Linked DNA regions of Solanum lycopersicum. Each later gene encodes a partner of the first gene's protein in a complex. Links are inferred from orthologs where the notes say so. Each region holds a gene or a part of one and is shown in the gene's direction. Other genes may lie near its edges. The genes, in order: mediator of RNA polymerase II transcription subunit 13, mediator of RNA polymerase II transcription subunit 21, mediator of RNA polymerase II transcription subunit 15a, MED18 and probable mediator of RNA polymerase II transcription subunit 26b.

Evidence for each region.
Region 2: mediator of RNA polymerase II transcription subunit 13 (region 1) and mediator of RNA polymerase II transcription subunit 21 share a complex: the UniProt entries of both Arabidopsis thaliana proteins name them as parts of the mediator complex. The link is inferred for Solanum lycopersicum from reciprocal best matches to the Arabidopsis thaliana genes GCT and MED21.
Region 3: mediator of RNA polymerase II transcription subunit 13 (region 1) and mediator of RNA polymerase II transcription subunit 15a share a complex: the UniProt entries of both Arabidopsis thaliana proteins name them as parts of the mediator complex. The link is inferred for Solanum lycopersicum from reciprocal best matches to the Arabidopsis thaliana genes GCT and NRB4.
Region 4: mediator of RNA polymerase II transcription subunit 13 (region 1) and MED18 share a complex: the UniProt entries of both Arabidopsis thaliana proteins name them as parts of the mediator complex. The link is inferred for Solanum lycopersicum from reciprocal best matches to the Arabidopsis thaliana genes GCT and AT2G22370.
Region 5: mediator of RNA polymerase II transcription subunit 13 (region 1) and probable mediator of RNA polymerase II transcription subunit 26b share a complex: the UniProt entries of both Arabidopsis thaliana proteins name them as parts of the mediator complex. The link is inferred for Solanum lycopersicum from reciprocal best matches to the Arabidopsis thaliana genes GCT and AT5G05140.

What each region holds. Positions count from the first base shown.
Region 1 is NC_090803.1:12,755,352-12,758,540, forward strand, and holds the end of mediator of RNA polymerase II transcription subunit 13, read left to right. Parts: coding exon 1-447; intron 448-771; coding exon 772-1,143; intron 1,144-1,525; coding exon 1,526-2,136; 3' UTR 2,137-2,642; downstream 2,643-3,189. Other genes in the region: pentatricopeptide repeat-containing protein At2g35030, mitochondrial, read left to right, coding at 3,149-3,189. UniProt on the Arabidopsis thaliana protein: Component of the Mediator complex, a coactivator involved in the regulated transcription of nearly all RNA polymerase II-dependent genes.
Region 2 is NC_090801.1:60,839,777-60,843,876, reverse strand, and holds mediator of RNA polymerase II transcription subunit 21, read left to right. Parts: upstream 1-1,357; coding exon 1,358-1,567; intron 1,568-2,706; coding exon 2,707-2,784; intron 2,785-2,956; coding exon 2,957-3,008; intron 3,009-3,132; coding exon of another isoform or gene 3,133-3,140; exon of another isoform or gene 3,141-3,154; coding exon 3,155-3,231; 3' UTR 3,232-3,512; downstream 3,513-4,100. Other genes in the region: iron-sulfur cluster assembly SufBD family protein ABCI8, chloroplastic, read right to left, coding at 1-419. UniProt on the Arabidopsis thaliana protein: Component of the Mediator complex, a coactivator involved in the regulated transcription of nearly all RNA polymerase II-dependent genes.
Region 3 is NC_090803.1:3,498,624-3,502,284, forward strand, and holds part of mediator of RNA polymerase II transcription subunit 15a, read left to right. Parts: intron 1-421; coding exon 422-496; intron 497-944; coding exon 945-2,261; intron 2,262-2,348; coding exon 2,349-2,684; intron 2,685-3,661. UniProt on the Arabidopsis thaliana protein: Component of the Mediator complex, a coactivator involved in the regulated transcription of nearly all RNA polymerase II-dependent genes.
Region 4 is NC_090805.1:1,887,961-1,892,210, reverse strand, and holds the start of MED18 (mediator of RNA polymerase II transcription subunit 18), read left to right. Parts: upstream 1-1,355; 5' UTR 1,356-1,749; intron 1,750-1,929; exon of another isoform or gene 1,930-2,003; intron 2,004-2,739; 5' UTR 2,740-2,761; coding exon 2,762-2,797; intron 2,798-2,963; coding exon 2,964-3,063; intron 3,064-4,250. Other genes in the region: ZNHIT (zinc finger HIT-type containing protein), read right to left, coding at 546-619. UniProt on the Arabidopsis thaliana protein: Component of the Mediator complex, a coactivator involved in the regulated transcription of nearly all RNA polymerase II-dependent genes.
Region 5 is NC_090809.1:61,266,097-61,270,207, reverse strand, and holds the start of probable mediator of RNA polymerase II transcription subunit 26b, read left to right. Parts: upstream 1-1,293; 5' UTR 1,294-2,260; coding exon 2,261-2,707; intron 2,708-3,314; coding exon 3,315-3,380; intron 3,381-3,481; coding exon 3,482-3,564; intron 3,565-4,111. UniProt on the Arabidopsis thaliana protein: Component of the Mediator complex, a coactivator involved in the regulated transcription of nearly all RNA polymerase II-dependent genes.

The sequences.
Region 1 (3,189 bases):
TTCCGATGTCGGGTAATCCAATGACTGAATCTTCAAAGCTTTTGTTGGATGATGGTACAAGTGGAAGTTTTATGCAGAGTTCAGCTTCTTCAGGTGGTGGAGACACTGGACTGAACACTCAGTCTGAAACATCTGTACCAGATGGTTTTGGATCTGCACATCAAAAATCACTTCCAAGCCTGCATTGTTGTTATGGTTGGACTGAAGATTGGCGCTGGCTGGTGTGTATATGGACAGATTCCAGGGGAGAATTGCTTGATAATCATATATATCCATTTGGGGGAATAAGTAGTAGGCAGGATACGAAAGGTCTGCAATCTTTGTTTGTGCAAATTCTGCAACAAGGATGTCAGATCCTTCAGTCATGTCCACCTGAGGCTGCCATTGCCAAGCCTAGGGATTTTGTCATTGCTCGTATAGGATGCTTCCTTGAGCTTGAATGCCAGGGTAAACATTTGTCATCAATATCTTGTGCTTACTGTCTACTTTTGTTACATCATAATACTCATTGGTGTTGAATTTTGATGAATCTGACTTGCTGTCTCCGTCTTTAATTGCGACAAAGTTTTAGCTGATCTATTTTTTTTTATTTTTTATTTTTTGGTTTGGCTGTGGAACACAAACAATTTAATTCTAATATATCTGTGTGGGATATGATGAATATCTTGATAAAGTATAACCTTGGTTGGTTTTGATTTGAGCGACTAAAATGAAGTTTCTGTTTGATTTATCAATCATGCTTATCTTATTAATGCAATTTTCTGGACGCAGAATGGCAGAAAGCCCTGTATTCAATTGGGGGATCTGAGGTGAAGAAATGGTCTCTGCAGCTAAGGCGATCTGTGCCTGATGGAATGACTGCAAGTAGTAATGGGACATCCTTGCAGCAACAGGAAATAGGTCTGATTCAAGAAAGAGCACTTCCTTCCTCCCCTAGTCCATTGTACAGTTCTCACTCAAAGGCTTCCTCTTTCATGAAAGGTGGCTTAGGTCAACCATCCACAAGGAAGCAGTTAATTGGCGGACAGGGTGTAGTGGACAACTCCAGGGGCTTACTTCAGTTGGTGCAAAGCATTAGTTTTGTCTCTCTTTCTATTGACCATTCCTTACAGCTTATGATTCAAGCGGACTCGACAAGTCATGGTACAATTCCTTACAATTCCTCTCTTCTTTTTTTGTTTTTTTTTTCAGACTACCTGTTCTCTGATAGAGTTGACTGTGGCTTTCTTTTAGATTCTCTTATTTACAATATGGGCTGTAGAGGAGATACTAAGATTATATGAAGTAAAGGGAGGAATAGTGTAGGTTAAGGAATTGTCGTTGGGATATGGGTTACCAAGGGAGTAAAGTGGGATAGGGTTACCATTGCACTTCTGTGTCAGGTTCTTCTTTTGGGTAGTGGTGATGTTGGGGCTTACCATATGAGAATCCATTAAAAAAATATTTTCTTTTGATTTGTCATCAGTTGACATTTTTATGCCTGGTTATTTCTGTTTCATATTCATGCATGGTATAAATTTTGCAGGAACAAGTCAAAGTAGTGGCATTATGAGTCAGCCAGGTTATCTTGAAGGTTATACCCCAGTTAAGTCCCTTGGTTCTACGTCCACCTCCTACATTCTAATTCCGTCACCCAGTATGAGATTCCTACCTCCTGTCAGTCTTCAGCTTCCTACTTGCCTGACTGCTGAATCACCACCACTTGCCCATCTTCTCCACAGCAAGGGATGTGCCATTCCCCTTTCAACAGGTTTTGTGGTTTCAAAAGCTGTACCTACAATGAGGAGAGATGTAAGGAGTATCTCAAAAGAAGAATGGCCCTCAGTTCTTTCTGTCAGCCTCGTTGATTACTATGGTGGCAGCAACGTCATCCATGAAAAGTTTTTGAAGGGTGTTGGTAAGGTTGGGGGAAGGGGTACAGGTTCGGAAACAAGAGATGTTGAAATAGCAGCTCACTTGATTCTTGAGAACATAGCTGCAGAGCTCCATGCTTTATCATGGATGACTGTAAGTCCGGCATACTTGGAGAGAAGATCTGCTTTGCCTTTACATTGTGACATGGTATTAAGGCTTCGGAGACTGCTTCACTTTGCCGATAAGGAAGTTTCTCGGCAACCTGTGAAAAGCCAAGTTTAGGATACGTGTAAATTGCAGCATACACACAACTTGTTCAAGCCGTCCATCTTGTGTCTTTGTTTCGTTATAGAAACAGACTGTAAACACAAAATGCATATACTAGTTCGCTGGAGAACATCCTTTCTGAGAAGTGTTACCTTGGGATAAATTAGTAGTTGTAGGATAGTAGATTTTTATTTTGTACATAATGTCATGTAAACTATTACAGGGATCCAAAGAGTTGAGTACACAATTCTTTAGTCCTAAAAATACTATCAAGTGCTCGAGTCCCTCATTATCTTTACAACATTCCAAGGCACTTGATGACAGGATGGTTTTACTAGACAGCAGATTTGTGACTCTTAGTTCATTTTTTTAATTGCTGAATAGCAGTGCTTAGTGCATGGGAAATGGGGATCTCAAGTTAGGCTAGTTTGGAGAAATGATGTGTCATCTGTACTTTGAATCCTTGAAAATGGCAAAGTTTTGCCTTTGTATTTTCCATTTAATTTCTTTGAGGGGACTAATCTGTTCTCTGGTCTTGTTTTCATTTTACTTATGCTAAATATAAACAAAGATGGAAGGCATGAACACTACCAATCTCAAACTAATAATGATATTATTTATCAAAAATGACTAGCTCTAGCAGTCGTATAAGTGCTTTATGATCACAAGTTTCAAAAGTTAATATAAGTGTCGGTACTTTACTAGTGGATTAAAATGTGTGTTCGTTTATCTAAATAGATCATTTGGCCATTTCAAAACTCAAATGGGCAACAAAAATGACAATTAACATAGGCATATTGTAAAGTTGATTTATGCAGGTATGAATAAGGTAACCAACCACATCATTACTAATGTTGGATTATGAAAAGCAAACTAGTCTCACTTGTTGTCACCATTAAATTTGGATTCATATCAGAATATTTCGAAATTTTTACCTAGGCTTTGGATTCGAGATTTCTAGAGCTAGCTTATATTTTGTATTAGTCAATTGATCTAATAGTCCAATGTGCCAAGGCTTGAGATTGAGATGTTGAAGCTGTTTCTTGCTCCAGTAAAGCTCAGACATTT
Region 2 (4,100 bases), on another chromosome or scaffold:
TACTGATTATCAGACCATTTCGGCTCTTTCATTTTAACAAATTTCTCATACGATTTCAATCTATACTCAAGCATCCATTCAGGCTCATTCTTTCTTGATGAAATTAACCTAATAGTATCCTCCGAAAGCCCTTTTGGCAGCGCAAAAGATTCAATATTTTCATTAAAACCCCATTTATAGTCTCTTTTCAAGAATTTCTGAAGTGGGTCGCCTTCATTTGAGATTGATAAAGATGATTCTTTACCTGGAACTTCAACAGTGGCCTTCGCATCAGCAGCTTTAATCTTGAAATTACCTGGATTTGAGATTTTGGGGCCGGGTGAATTAGGCAAAAAGTTATACCCTTTTGGGAGTTTAGGCTGCTCAGCGATGGATTGAGGACAGAAGTGTGAGATTCCGTTGGTGAGAAGAGAAGCCATAGTTGATGCTTAGAAGATAGAAAGAAGCAGGATGAGAAGGCAAACATAAATTTTATTTGTTTCTTTTTTAATTTTTTGTGGTGTCTGATCTAAGATGTCGTATGCTGACCACGTGCATCTTTTCAAAGCCTAAATTACAACAACAAAAAAAAAACAATTAAAAAAAATAGTAAAGCTAAATTATTTTTGTTGCATTTTATGTCATTTAAGCGCTCACTTGATAATGATAAAGTCAGACTTTATGTTGAAAGGTTTAAAATAAAAACAAGTAAATGTGAAGAGTTATGACTGGTGTTTGTGCATGTTACTTTACAAATTAGGACTGGTGTTTGTGCATTATCTATAAGAACGGTGAAACTCAGAAAGTGACGAAATTTACTCAGAAATTCAATGGCGTTCATAAGAGAAATTTGTAAAATCCTGGGGAAAATCGTATAAGAGAGAAAATCGTCTAAGAAAAAAAAAGGGAAATCGTATTATGTTTTAGAGAAGTAAAATGAATGAAAATGAGAAAAAAATTAATAATTAAGATTTATGAGTCTACATGGAGATGATGTTTTTTGGTGCTCATGTGGCATCCATATGGTGTCCACGTGGCGTTCAGGTGACACTTAACACACCTTTGTTAAAATTAAGGGTAAAAATAACTCAATACTTTAATAGAAGGGCTAGAATTTAATTTAAAGATATATGTGAGCTAATTCGGATAATTCAGAAATATTTTTGAGCATTTTTCGTAAAATTTAATTGAAATAATGGTTAATTTTAGGTCTAATTTTAAAACAATTGTAACAGATTATCGAATCTACTTCGGCTCTACCCGGACCTCCAATTCTAGGGTTTTCAGGTAAGTTCTTCTCCTCTGTTTTCTATTCCTTTGTTCGATCTTTTCTCAAAATTCACCATTTTTGTTAGCAATAAAGGGAAGGATTTGGAAGATGGATATCATATCACAGTTACAGGAACAAGTAAATACAATTGCAGCTCTTGCTTTCAACACCTTTGGTACTCTTCAGAGGGACGCCCCTCCTGTGCGTCTATCACCTAATTATCCAGAACCTCCACCTGCTAATCCCACAGAAGACTCAGCTAATGTTGCAGAACAACCAAAGCAAATGAGTGCTGCTTTTGTTAAGGCTGCCAAGCAGGTGAAACTCCATACTCCATACCTTCACTTTTTCTGCTTATTCATCAACGAATATGAACAAGCCACAGACCAGGGTATAAAAGTAATCTGCGTGTACTTCGAGAATAGGGAATTTTCTCTTTTTTCGGAAGATCAAGATAAACTATTTAGTTTAGTTTCCTTTTTTGTGTAGACATTTTTTTTGTAAATGAGCCTGAATAAGTGATTGAACTTGTAGAATCCCTTTAAGAATAGGAAGGTATATCTTTGTGTTCCCTGTAAATGTTGTTGATTGCACCTTCTTGGTGCTGTATTACAAATGCACTTACCATTCCTTCAAAAAATCATTTTTGGACAAAATAATGTTTCTTTTGTCTTCTTTTGACTAGTATGTTTACTTTTGGAAACGTCAAATCTTTAGATATATGATGTGTTTGTGCAGTTCTATACAAGATAACACTAAGTTGTATCTTGGCTCATCATATCTAATGCGTACATGCAGTTCTATACCAGATGATATTAAGTCTTTGTTTGTTCAGACTTGAGACCTGCGTGGTTGAGTTCAAAGACCTTAGTCCTGATTCCTGAGACCAGTGTGGTTGAGTTCAAATACCTAGTCTTTTGTCCTTAGTTTAACGAGAAATACAATAATGCTATTAGCATCACCAACTACTTCAATAAAACTTGACTGAATCACATAATGGCGGACAAATTCCAACTACTAGCTGGACAGGATTGCATGCCTCTAGGGATTTTTACTAGAGAACTTGATGTCAGCCTCTCAGGTTTGGTAACCATGACATCTAGGCCAAGACTCACCGGGTAAACCTGGTGTCAAAACCGGAAAACTGAGTTCTAGTTTATCGCCCTTTAGCTGTCTTCTATGAAATGTATATGGACAACCCTGTGATTAGTTCTAAGGTGTTCAAGTTTACAGTTATGTTTCCCTTGTTTTCTTCTTGGCCTCACAATCAGAGGTTGTCTAATCTAGCATCCTATCAAACTTAAGCAGCACAGCCGACACTTGAGAGTAGCCTTGAGGATTGTGTGGCTCTAATTCAGACCAATTGCAAATTTTCATTGTGATCCTAAAGTGTATGCTTTGCTACAATGTCATTGTATTAAATCTATCTTCTCTTTTTCTTATCCTTCTTTGAGCAGTTCGATGTGTTGGTTGCTGCTCTTCCTTTATCGGATGGGAGTGAAGAAGCCCAATTGAAAAGAATTGCAGAACTCCAGGTATATGCTTCTTTGTGAATAATTGGTGGAATTCACTTTTTGACATCCTCTAATTCTGATGTGTTATAGCTTAACAGTATTTAAACTAAAAAAATAAAGAAGGATAAATAAAGATTAGTCTGTCTATTTTGGGCTTAGTAGTCTTACTCGGTTGTGTATGTATGTGATGTAGGCTGAGAACGATGCAGTTGGCCAAGAACTTCAAAAACAACTGGAAGCTGCAGGTAAGAGTTTGTTTTTCCCTTGCTTTCTTTCTGAAAGATAGTGGAAGCTGTTCTGATTAGGCTAAGGTCCAAATTTCCGTTTTCCTGTCTGTATTATTAATTTTTTGTTTATTCTGAGACTCAGTTTGCTGATTTTGGTGATTTAGAGAAGGAGCTAAAGCAGGTCCAGGAGTTGTTTAACCAAGCAACAGATAACTGCCTGAACTTGAAGAAGCCAGAATGAATAAGGTAGTAGATATTTCAGTTTGCTTGAGGAGCCCATTCTTGCTGGAATATACCCTGGAGGAACAACAAATTGATTGTGTCCATGTCTGTTATGGGTACATTTATTAACTAATTATAATTAGGCATGCTCTGACATTATTTTTTTTTTAAGTTCTTGGCCACTGCTGAAGAAAAGAATTCAGTATACTATTGTATCTGGTTTAGAGCTGTGTTTATAGAATGAAAAGAGGTAGGGATAATGTGCCTAAATAGCAAAAATCAGCAGTTTTTTTGTCTCCACATCCTTAAATATTAGTGTCTTCTGTGCCACGTGTTCAATTTAGAAGTTGGCTAGTTTCTCTGCTCCAGCACTTGTCAAAAGTTATGCAATTATCAGACTGACTTCGTAAACATGTGATCCCAAAACATGGCAGCTGGCATGCACAACTACCCTACCGAGTTGATGATTTTAATTCGTAGACACATTTTGGGCTGTGTCTGGGTACTTTGGGAGTTTAGATTGCATATCGCCAGAATATTTTCTTGTCGTGCTGGAACTGAGGCGTGGCCGAAAACAAGTAGCAACCACACAAAATATATAGAAAACCTTGTCTGCCTAATATGTAAGCGTGACAGCAACGAAGAGAAGAATTTACAGCCATCGGGGTTTGTTGAATGCTAAAATTTAGATAGAACGTGGGTCCAACTATGACTGGTAGAAGGACTCAACCACGTCATATGACAATTGGCATCAATACATGAATGAAGAAACTAACGCAGGAGACGTATTGAAGACTACAATACATAAGACATTTTTATCAAAATAAAACTATCACGGAAATCATTCAGACGATTGCAATTATTTTGGAGGAAACATTAGTAAGAATT
Region 3 (3,661 bases), about 9.3 Mb from region 1:
GTAATAAAGGTGTAAAGTGAAAAAAAATGATGTTTTCACACTAAACAATATTATATCTCCCAGACAATTATAGAAAAGTATATTCTAATTCCTCCTGGTTGGGCTGGTCTATTATCACATCTTGGAACTAGACCCTTGCTGTTAGCACCGAGCAGAAACGTGTACCAAGAAGCTGAAGGAAGCAAAGTTCAGTTGTTTATTTTTTCATTCACATGTTGAATCATGCAAAATGGATTCTTTAATGAGTTTTAGTCTTCCGCTTCCACTTCACTTTTAACTTTTTATCTGGAAGGTTCTTTCATGAGGATTCTCTAGTTTGTTCTCTACTGTATCGGAAAGTTGATCTAATTATTACCTCTCCATATGGGAATGCAGTCTTGACATTTGCGCAATTCTGAGCTGATGCAAATTTTTAATGCAGATAAAGTCTATGAAGGAGTCGTACTTAGCAGAGCTCAATGATCTATACCACAAAATTGCTTCTAAAGTGCAACAGGTATGTCATCAACATTTTAATCCATTCTTATCATTTTTGGAGCAATTCTACTAGCTATGTATGGTGCAGCATGTTTGCCTGTGTTGAAGCGTTGTGTATGATTGTAAAGTAGAGGTGGAGGACACCATAAAATGAGCTATTTACACATATCTAGGTGAATACTGTGATGTAGATGCCACTTTTATGTTCCCTTGGGGAAGGGTTCAAGGCCTCCCTAATTCTTCGGGCAAGGGCTTGATTTGTCTAAATTTTAAGAGCGCTTAAGTCAGCATTCTGTTGAATTGGGCACCTGGCCACTATGTTATTTGTCTCTTTATGTTGGTTTTAAGTTTTTCTCCCTTTTTCTTTGCTGTGGGAGGGAGGTGTACTTGAAGCATGAATTTTAAAAGTTTGCAAAGGGCAAGAAACAAGACTTTGACTAAACTGATTTTTTTTTCCTGATTTTAAGCATGATTCTCTTCCTCAGCGTCCTCAAAATGAGCAAATTGAAAAGCTCAAGATGTTCAAGATCACGCTGGAACGCATTGTGCTTTTCTTGCGGCTTAACAAGCAGGATATTCAACTTTCTCACAAGGAAAAGTTGGCTTCGGTTGAGAAGCACATAAGTTTCTTTCTTAGTTCCAATAGGCCGCGCAGCAAGCCTTCTTCTTCTCCACTGCAGGGACAGCTTCCTCAGTCTTCCATGCAGCTTCAGCAACCACCATCTCTTGATGGTCAATCTAATCCGTCGATGCAACCCTCACAGGGTTCCATGGCAGCAATGCCTCAGAATAATCTCACCAACTTGCAACATAATACCTTGTCTGGTGTACCGACAATTTCCAACTCCCAGCAGCACATGATAAATACAGTACAGCCTGGTTCCACTGTGGATTTGGGACAGGGTAATTCATTGAACTCACTGCAGCAGGTGGCTACTGGCTCTTTACAACAGAATCCTGTTAACAGTCCTCAACAAGTTAACATGAGCTCATTAAGCTCACAAAGTGGAACAAACCCCGTACAGGCAAACCTCGGTTCCCTACAGCAAAATTCAAACGCCCTGCAACAGTCACTTCCTAAGCAGCACGAGCAGCAAATGTTGCAGAACCAGCAATTAAGACAGCAATACCACCATAGGCATATGCAGCAGCAACTTTTTCAAAGACAGCAGATAATACAACAGCAGCAAGCGAAGCAACAGCAGACCACGCTGTTGCCAACCCACCAGATGTCTCAGCTTCAACAGATGACTGATGCTAATGACCTAAAGATAAGGCAGCAAATGGGGATAAAACCAGGAGTTTTACAGCAACAGTCAGTTGGCCAGCGTGTTGGATCTCATCATCCCCAATTGAAGCCAGGAATATCTTCACCTCAACTCCATCAAGCACTGTCTCCTCAGGTTACCCAACATCCTTCTCCACAAATTGACCAACAAAATATGTTGGCGTCTCTTACAAAAGCTGGGACTCCTCTCCAATCCGCAAGCTCACCGTTTGTTGTCCCTTCTCCTTCAACTCCCTTGGCTCCATCTCCAATGCCGGGAGATTCTGAAAAAGTTGGTGCTGGCCTTGGATCACATACCACTGCTGGAAATATAATGCATCAGCAAGCTACTGTTGCTTCTGCACCTGCCCAATCCCTTGCAATTGGTACTCCTGGGATATCAGCCTCACCTTTGCTTGCTGAGTTTACTCCTCTAGATGGTACACATGCCAATGTCTCAGCTGCTGTTCCTGGCAGGTCAAGTGTTGAACAACCATTGGATCGCTTGATGAGAGCGGTTTGTATTATACCATTCTACTTAATTTGTATCTTCACTAATCCCAATAATCTGTCTTCATTGATTTGACTTGTTTATTACATTCAGGTTAAAAACATGTCTGACAAAGCATTGCAGTCGTCAGTTCAAGACATCTATTCAGTTGTCAGTATGAATGATAGAATAGCAGGATCTGCTCCAGGAAATGGGTCAAGAGCAGCTGTTGGCGAAGATTTGGTTGCCATGACCAAATGTCGTCTCCAAGCGAGAAACTACTTTACGCAGGATGGACCTACAGGAACAAAGAAAATGAAGCGATATACAACTTCCAACGTTGTGTCGTCAAGCAGCAGTTTGAATGATAGTTTCTGGCAGGTGAATTATTCTGAAACACCTGAGTTAGAGTCAACAGCAACATCCAATGCCAAAAGACCTAAAATAGAGGTAATTTTCTGCTGCCTACTTACAGGATAAAAGTACAAAACTGCACGTCCAAACATGAGAGCTCCGTGGTAGACTATATTGGTTCTTAAAAGAAAAAGGAGGTCCATTCAGGTGCATTTTAGAGTTAAAAAAGTAAAAACTGATCTTTGTCCATGACTGCTAGAGAGAGAGTAGAATGACCAAATGCAATATGGTGGAATATTTCTTGAAGTTTCAGCTTGCATGCAAACTGAAACTCGACTCAGAGTGGTTTTTAACAATCATTCCTTGTGCCTGCTCTTTCATTTTTATTGATTATGTTTCTGCAACTGGAACATCATCAACCCCAAACTACCACTTATAGTTCTGTTCTGAAAACTTTGATGGCTATGATAGAATATTGTATGGAAAAATCAAACATTACTTTATGTGAACGAGACATGAGTTTTACTTCTTTAGTACTCTTTCAGCTTGTGAGTATGTCTAAATAATCTGAACTAAGTATAAGACGACTGTCTAGAATAAAGACAAATGCATTTTATTGAATGCTATATGCAACCTGAGACTTTCAATTGGCTGCTCAGTCTTTGTACCAGACTGTCATTCAGTGTCTACTTATTCAACATATGATAATGCCCAATCCCTACCACAAACTTCCCGGCTCTTAAGTGTCCCTCAGCCTTACTGTGCCTGAGCAGCACTCAGTACAAATCTATACGGAAACAATAAAAATACGCCTTCTTTCTATATGGTTTCAATATTATCCCTTTTGTAGCAACTAGCGTGTGAATATATTCTAGTGGTGAACTAAAACCCTATCTATGAACTATTTTGACTTGAATTCCCAACTGCTCCTCAATTTATTGCTAGGCTCTTTAGCATTTAGATTGACCCAAAACACTTGGTCCTTGCATTTTCATATTGGGTTTTTTTTTATGCCTGGATTCACCCTACCTTTTTTGTGTTACTATAAACAATGTGAATCACTTGAATCCCAC
Region 4 (4,250 bases), on another chromosome or scaffold:
TAATAATTCTAACCAGCTACCTAACACACCTAAGGTTCTTTGCGACAAATTTATGTATAAAAATATGCACTTTAGAAATCCGCATATAACTAATACAAATATAAGTTATGAGAAAAATTTGTGTATTTATTCTATGCCTGACATAAGATAGATAACTGACAGTTGCATAATTCTAACCGGCTCCCAAACGACACCTAAGGTTCTTTGCAATGATTTCAATGTATAAAAGTCCGCAATTTAGAAAGCTACATGACTAATACATATATAAGCTACGAAGAAATTTATATATTATTTTATGCCGGACATAAAAAATAACTGCATAATTCTAACTAGTTACCAAACGAAACCTAAGTTTCTTATCAACAAATTCATATCTCTATTTGCTACAATTATGATGTTTTTCTACATATAAAAATTTTTACTCTGAATTTTGTATGAATAATCTATATCCATTCCCCTTCAGTTTAAACTAAAAACAAACTCAAAACCCAGAATTAAAATTCAAATAAATTTCAAAGAATGAAAAAAGATGGAAATATAATTACAAGGGGATGAAGCAATTGGGACACTTGTATCTCGACTGTGCTTCATCACATACTTGACATTTTTTCGATCCCATTATTTCTTCTTCTTCTTCGTTATCGAGGTTTTAGGGTTTTTTCTGGAAGAGGTGGAATGTAAAATTGCAATATTGGTCCCTGAATTTTGAGTTTAGATTCAATCGGGTTCTTACAATTTTATCAAATTATACTTTGAGTCGCTTAATTAATTATGGGCCTAAACTCGAATTCGGGTCCAAAATTTTCAAACCATTTTCTCTTCTGCTAAGTACCACTTTTCTCTAATAATTCTACGAGATACTCGTCACTTTCTATAATAATCATTTTTCGTAAAAGGAATCAAATCATTTTATTCATTTATATAGAAAGAATTTTGCAATAATTAATTTTCGTAAAAAGTATCAAATTATTTTATCCATTCATATAGAAAGAATTTCGTGTTATCAATTTTCGTAAAAGGTATCAAAATCATTTTATCAAAGAATTTCGTAATAATCAATTTTTCGTATAAGGTATCAAATTATTTTATCCATTCCTATAGAAAGAATCCATTAATATTTTTTAATTAATTATATAAGATACTAATCAAATTTTCGTAACAGACATTTATCCACTCGTATGAAAAGAATCCGCTAATATTTTCAATTGATTCTACGAGATACTTGTCACTTTTCGCAATAGGTATTATTCCAACCCTATGTCTTGAGTTTCGACTTTTTTGATATTTTCGACCACTTCATTGAGCACTAAATCACCATATTATCTCTGTTACTGCTAATTGTTTTGGTTTCTCTCAGCCATAGCTTGCATTACTAAACCTTAATTTTACAATTGATCGTAGAAACATATTTTTCTTGCTAGAAAAAATCTCTCTTTGGCTCGTTTTTACTGTTGATTTTTTGTTATGTGATTAATTGGACCTTGTTTGATGTAGAAACCTAGATTTTTTTGTTACAATTGGACCTTGTTTGATGTAGAAAACTGGATTTTTTGTTACAATTGGACCTTGTTTGATATAGAAACCTAGATTTCTAGCTAGAATTTTTTTTTCTTTGGCTCGTTGTTATCGTTGATTTTTTGTTATGTGATTAATTTAGGTCTGCCTGTTTAAGCTTTCGAACTATTTTTTTTAATTGAATTTTTGCAGCTCAGATTGGGGGAAAAAGTGAGATTGCTTCAACTGTTCAAGGTAATTCTTTCAATTTTTTGCTCTGATGTTTTATGTTTAGTTCTACAATGCTAAATGATTGTGTTTTATATGTCATACAATAGTGTGTATAGATGATAAAATTTGGAGTTTGATGTAGAAACTTTGAAAAAACAGATGTATAACAATAAAGATATGTTAAACAAAGATCAAATTGTACAGGCACTAGAAAAATCATATTTTGATGCCAAAATAGTCGAAAAAAACCAAAGGCAACATATACCATATAGTCCAAGGTATTGTCTTTTCTTCACCCATTCTTCTCCTTTTCCATTTTCTCTTTCTTTCCTCCATTTTTGTAGTCATTCGTTGTTTTTGCTGAGCACATGCTCCATCATATAACAATGACAACAACATACCTTGTGAAATCCCACAAGTGGACTATGGGGAGGATAGAATGTATATATGTTGTTGTACGTATGTAGAAAATATTTGCCAAACAGGAGTTAAGCTATGTGTCCAAGTGACTAATTTTCCACATGAAAAGAATCACCCATGGTGGAGTGACTTCATTGATAAAACTTGATACCATTCCAGCACTACTACCTATTTCTTTGAAGAAACTTAGTAAAACTTAAGGTTGTTTGGTCATAGCCTAATGAAAGGAGCAAGTTTGACAGTTTTTGGTGCATATTGGATCATTAGAAGTTTCATGCTTAAAATCTTGGTGAGAATTTGGGTGTACCAAAAGACAAGTAATGACCAAATGCTTAAATTTCTAATTATGGATGGAAAAGGCAATAATTGAAGACCACCCCAAAATAGGGGCAATCCGGGCAAAAACTTTAAGCCTCAATCCAAAACTAAATTCATATTAAGATCCATTAATCTTCAAGCAATGCACTTCTCATACAAAGAGTGTCAACTTTGTTATGATTTTGGTTAGGTGTTAGCTTTTTCGTTGTTACTCTTCTGTTAAACTTAATATCTTTTTGGTTCATAGGTATGTTCTAAAGAGTTCTTTGCATGTAGGTTTGAATAAATTGAAGTGCGAATGGAGTGTGTGGTTCAGGGAATTATTGAGACTCAAGTAAGTTCCTGGAGTAATGATAAAACCTCCCCCTATTTCTCGTTTTTTTCTTATTCAATCTTTTAGAAGGTATGCTACTTGTAAAAGGTATACTACGGCATTTACTGAAACAGTTTTTGGCAATTGATTATTGAAAAGATCTTGACAGTGCTAATCATACTTGCAGCATGTCGAGGCCCTGGAAATTCTGCTTCAAGGGCTTTGTGGTGTACATAAACAAAGCTTAAGGATTCATGAACTGTGCCTTAAAAGTGTCCCTAACCTAGGTAAGTGTATTTTCTCTTTGAACTATTATGGAACTAGGAACTAACCCAATGGTCATGTATGTACTGATGTGGCTGAGGCAAATGCTCACAACCATCTATGCATTCGTAGGGAGGTTTTCTCACCTTTGAGTTTGTACATAGCTGATAATTTTTTTATGGTCCATCTTATTCTAGTTGTACTGTGGTGCTGCATGTCAATTATTGAATGGAATTAGGTTCAAGTATGATTCACTTTCAGTACATCTAATTTATAGGTCGAGACCACATGGTTTTTGCTCATTCACTTGTTGACTGTTGAGTGCCTTGTTTTCAACAAAGTGTTGCCTATCATGGTTTTGTCGATGATACAGATGTGATTCTCTGCGATGATGTACATGTGATTCTTTGACATGTTGATGAGGGTAACGTCGGAGTATTAAAACAATGCTTGTTTCCTGTTAAAGATAGTATGGCAGATGTTGATCCCACAAGGATTGAGTTTCTGCTATCCTAATTAGTGTTGCTCAATTACTATTCGAGTAATCAGATAAGCAGGCGGAATGTTTTTGACTAAAATGAAATATAAATAAGAGTTCTATGACATGAATGATGGTGAAAGAGTATCCATCAGTTCATTAAACGAGTTGAATATAGACTTTTTTGTTCTAATCAGAAGGAGTTGAATCTAGACTTCACTTATGATTAGTGTATGGTGTTCACTGTCCACCAATCAATATTGATCTCTAAGTTATAAGTGCCTCTCTCTATTACACTCAACATTGATTATTCCTCTCGCTTGTAGTAATATCTAAGGAAATAGAAAACCTTAAATTCAGAGCACCTTCAGCTAATCACCTTCCAAATCACTGGTGTATATCTCGATTACATCTAACTACTATAACCTTCTTGGCTAAGTGTATTTCTTTTTATTATAATAGTCAAGGTATTATTATACCTTAAATATGGAAGACGGTTGATTAATTAACCTTGGCTCCCACAAATATATGTTGACCCCTTGTGGTTGTCTACGCATTTGTCATATCATCATCACAATTCATAAAGTATGTTGAAGACTGATTTCTCCTCTTGGTTAGACAAGGAAAAAAAGCAAACTATGATCATTCAAACGTAATTGGGAAAATAATGGAGTCCAGTGACCTCTCTAGATCAGAAGTTTGAATTGCAGAACAAATGGTTTGAATCAAATT
Region 5 (4,111 bases), on another chromosome or scaffold:
TAAACGTTACCTCGTTATTGATAAATGCATTGGAAAAATAAATAAAAAATTAAAATTTTGTTTTGTTTTGGATCAAACAAAAAAATTCTGTTTTTTTAATGAAGTTTAATTCCTTCGTATATTTATTTAGTATTATAAATTAAATTCTTTCGAAATAGAAAGAAAATCTACTATACAACACTAGCAATAGAAATTACAAACTTCAACAAATAAAAAAAATTATATGGTACTTTTATTTACAAAATACAATGCAAAAATAAGTAATTTGTATGTTTATTAGGATTTTAAGGATAATAACATCTTTATTGAAACTCTTTTTCTAATTTTAAGTTAATCAAAGAACGAACAAGTCCTAAATAAATAATTATAATAATTTCACATAACAATAACTTGTTCATTAAAATATAAAAAGAAATATAAATTTATATATAACATATTATGATTTATAAACTACAAAAAAGGAAACAACATGAAAAAATCTAATATAACAAAGGGTGGTATAAGACTAAAACAGGAGAATTAATTTTTTAGTCCACTTGCTATTTTTAAAAAGGCAAAGATAAATTGGAGAAAATTTAAGTTAAACTTTATATAAATAAAAAATTTACCTTTTTTATTTGAAGTAAAAAAATAAAACTCCAAATGAATAATAGTATCAAATAACAATAGTTTGTCATTGAAATTTGAATTTAATATAATATTATGATATTTTTTATAAACAGACAGTATTATGATAAAAAAATTTAATGTAAATATGACATTTTATACGAATCAAACGTAATAAGACTTTTTCTTAAAAATTAAAATAAACAATGTGAATATATATTTATCCGTATTAATTAAGCATCTTATTATTTTAACAACTTATATTTCTTTTTATATAAAAATAAATCAATTAAAACATACTTTAAATATTTTTTTATTTTTTATTTTCTTACTTTTAATATATAAAAAATAACATTTTTTTCTTATTTTACCATCGATATTAATTGCTTACTCCTTGCTCATTTTTCAATATCCAAGACTATACATCATTCATCAATTAATATATTCACAACAAAATTATTATTATTATTACGAAATATATTAAAAATAGATAAATAAAAATAAATGAAGAGGATATATTATTTTGTAATTCCATAAAAAAAAACATATATAAAAAAAGAAAACTACTTCAAAGCAAAGAGATAAATCACTTCCTTAACTTGAAAATAAAAATCATTTCCTTTCAGATTTTTCTTTTATTGTTTTTCTATATTATGTCACTATATTTATTTATTTCTTATCATCCTTCTTTGAACTGAACACAGTTAAAAATAGTTTTTCTATGTCAAAGAGATATGAATAAAATCTATATCCATATCATTTCTTTAAACTTTACTTATGAACCTATATCAAATATGTTATTCTCATCGTTATCGTTGTCATCATCAAAGTTATCCTTATGAATTTCATCCATAAAAGAAGTTTTCAAAATCCAATTTCCATTCTATATACATATCAGAATTCGATTAGTTCAAATTTCACACTTATTCATACTTAAAATATATATTTTATATACTGACAATCTCTCGAGTTAAAAATGAAGGAATCAGAACCATCTCACCACGATCCATGCTAATGACCGAAGAAAATTGATCCTTATCACCTACCCCTAACCCCTACCCCCCACCCCCAACAGAGAAAAAACAATATTTTTTCTTCCTCTCTCTCGTGTCTCTTTGAACCAGCACCTTGTATTGCTTTTTTTTTTACAGAGAGAGAAATATAATTAAAATAATAAAAGATAGCTAGAGAGAGAAAATCTTCTATACTTTTTTTTTAACATATATTCTTTTTCTCTGGAAAAATTTCTTTCAATCGGAATAATTTTTTCTAGATTTCTCTTCTTATATCTCACCAAAAACTTAATCGGATTTTTATTTAATTTTTTTAATTTTGTTTTGTCATTTTGGGTTTATAGAGTTTCTATCATATGGATTTTTCCTAAAAAAAAAGCATAAAAATCTGTATCCGATTGCATTTTGCAGAACTGAATCGCCGGTGACACTGATTATTCAGTTTCCGATCATCGGAAAAAGTACCTAATCGGAAAACCAGAGGTTTTTATTGCTAAAAACCTTGTTTCCGATTAGAATTTGTATGATTTTCTTGTGGGTATAATTAAAATCGGATAAAGATTGAATTTGTATATTTGGGTATTGATAAATAATTGATTTTACGATCTGGGTTGATTTGTTTTTGCTCTGAATCATCAGTTATGGCGAAGAGTAGTGGGACTTTGGATAAATGGAGGGACTATTTTCGTACTGCAAATTCGGATATATTTGATATAATTGAGTATGCAGTGATGGTTGCTGCTGTTGATTGTCCAAAGGAATTTAAAATGAGAAGGGATAGAATTGCTGAAATGTTGTTTACATGTAAAGTTACTATGTGTTTTGGTTGTGAGAAAGTTGATTTAGCTGTACCAATTGCTGGTAATGATGATGAAGGAAAAATTAAGAGTAAGGATGAGTTTGGTGGTAGTAAAGAGAGCAAAGTTAACAGTAGGATAGATCATCATGATGTTGAGATGAATGTGAATCAAGTTAGCAATTATAGTTATGGAGAAGCTGAGGCATTAACTGAGGAAATGGAGGAAGAGACTCAGACTTTTGGGGAGGTGATGAGGATCAAAGATGTCATTGATAACAACCAAGCTGAGGTTCATTTCATCTCTATTGAATTTTGGTTATACTGTTGATTTGAAGTATTTTGCTGTGTTTGGATTTGTTCAGTCAAGAATTGGTGGACTCTGTGTATGTGAATTTGAAGTTTGTGTACTTTTGGGGTTGATCAAGAAGAAAATCTTGATAATTGAGCTTAAATGTTGTTAAATTTTTGGAGTTTCTGGTGTTGTATGACATATAACAATGGTTACTTTTATGGTTGAATTTAATGATTTGAAATTTCTGTTCTTGTGGGGTTGATCAGGAAGAAGAATCTTGATAATTGAGCTAATGTTGTAAGATTTTAGAACTTTTGTGGTTGAATTTGATGGTGATTCTATTTTCTCTACTAGTGTCTATAACTGGAAAATCTGATATGAGGTTGTTTTCATGTCACAGTTAGGAAACCTTTATGCTTTTCATTTCCTTTTTGCCCCCTTTTTGTTCCTTTGATCTAGTTGTACAAGGATGTTGCTTTCTTTAGCTTTAAAACAATGTATGAAGCTACTTTTAAACTCTTTATATCTTTTGCTATTTCACTTGCTTGGTAGTTTTGAGCTTTCCTCTAGTAATCGGGTTTTGAGTTATTGTTCTTTTTGACAGTCTGCAGAGTTGTTTGAGTGCTTAAGAAGGCTTCAACTAATGGCTTTGTCTGTGGAGACTTTAAAGGTTTGATCTTTTGACGCTTCCAAAATTTCATCTTCCATTTATTGTGGTTACTGTTTTTTAAATTTATTCTGGATGGACATAATTGATTGCTTCTATATCAGGCCACAGAGATTGGAAAGTCGGTTAATTCTCTCAGAAAGCACAACTCAAAGGATGTTCGGCATCTATCTCGGACATTGATTGAGTAAGTAACTCTTGCTTTATTGCTGAAATAACTGTAAGAATGTCGTCAAAATATGTATGCACAACACAGTTCTAGTAGTCTGATCCGGGGTATCTTTAATGTGGCTGAATTTGTTTTATCGCAAAGGTTTGAACTTTTGTCTTCGAGTTGAACTAACATGTCGTATTGGTGGCTCTGGCAGCTTGCTTTGTCGGTTGTAGTTTTGAAGCTATTATTACTTTTTAACGCTTGCAACTGTTTGTCGCTTACCGTTTATCTTTACCGTAAAATTAAGATTTCATCATAACTCAATCATCAATGCATACTAATGATGGTGATTGCTTCATTTATCGAGTGCTGAATTTGTTTTTATCGCAAAGGTTTGATCTTTTGTCTTTGAGTTGAACTAACATGTCTTTTTGGCGGCTCTGGCAGCTTGCTTTGTCGGTTGTAGTTTTGAGCTATTATTACTTCTTAACGCTTGCCACTGTTTGTCGCTTACCGTTTTTCTTTAATTGATGTTATCTTTAATGAAGATTCCATCATAACTCAATCATCGATGCATACT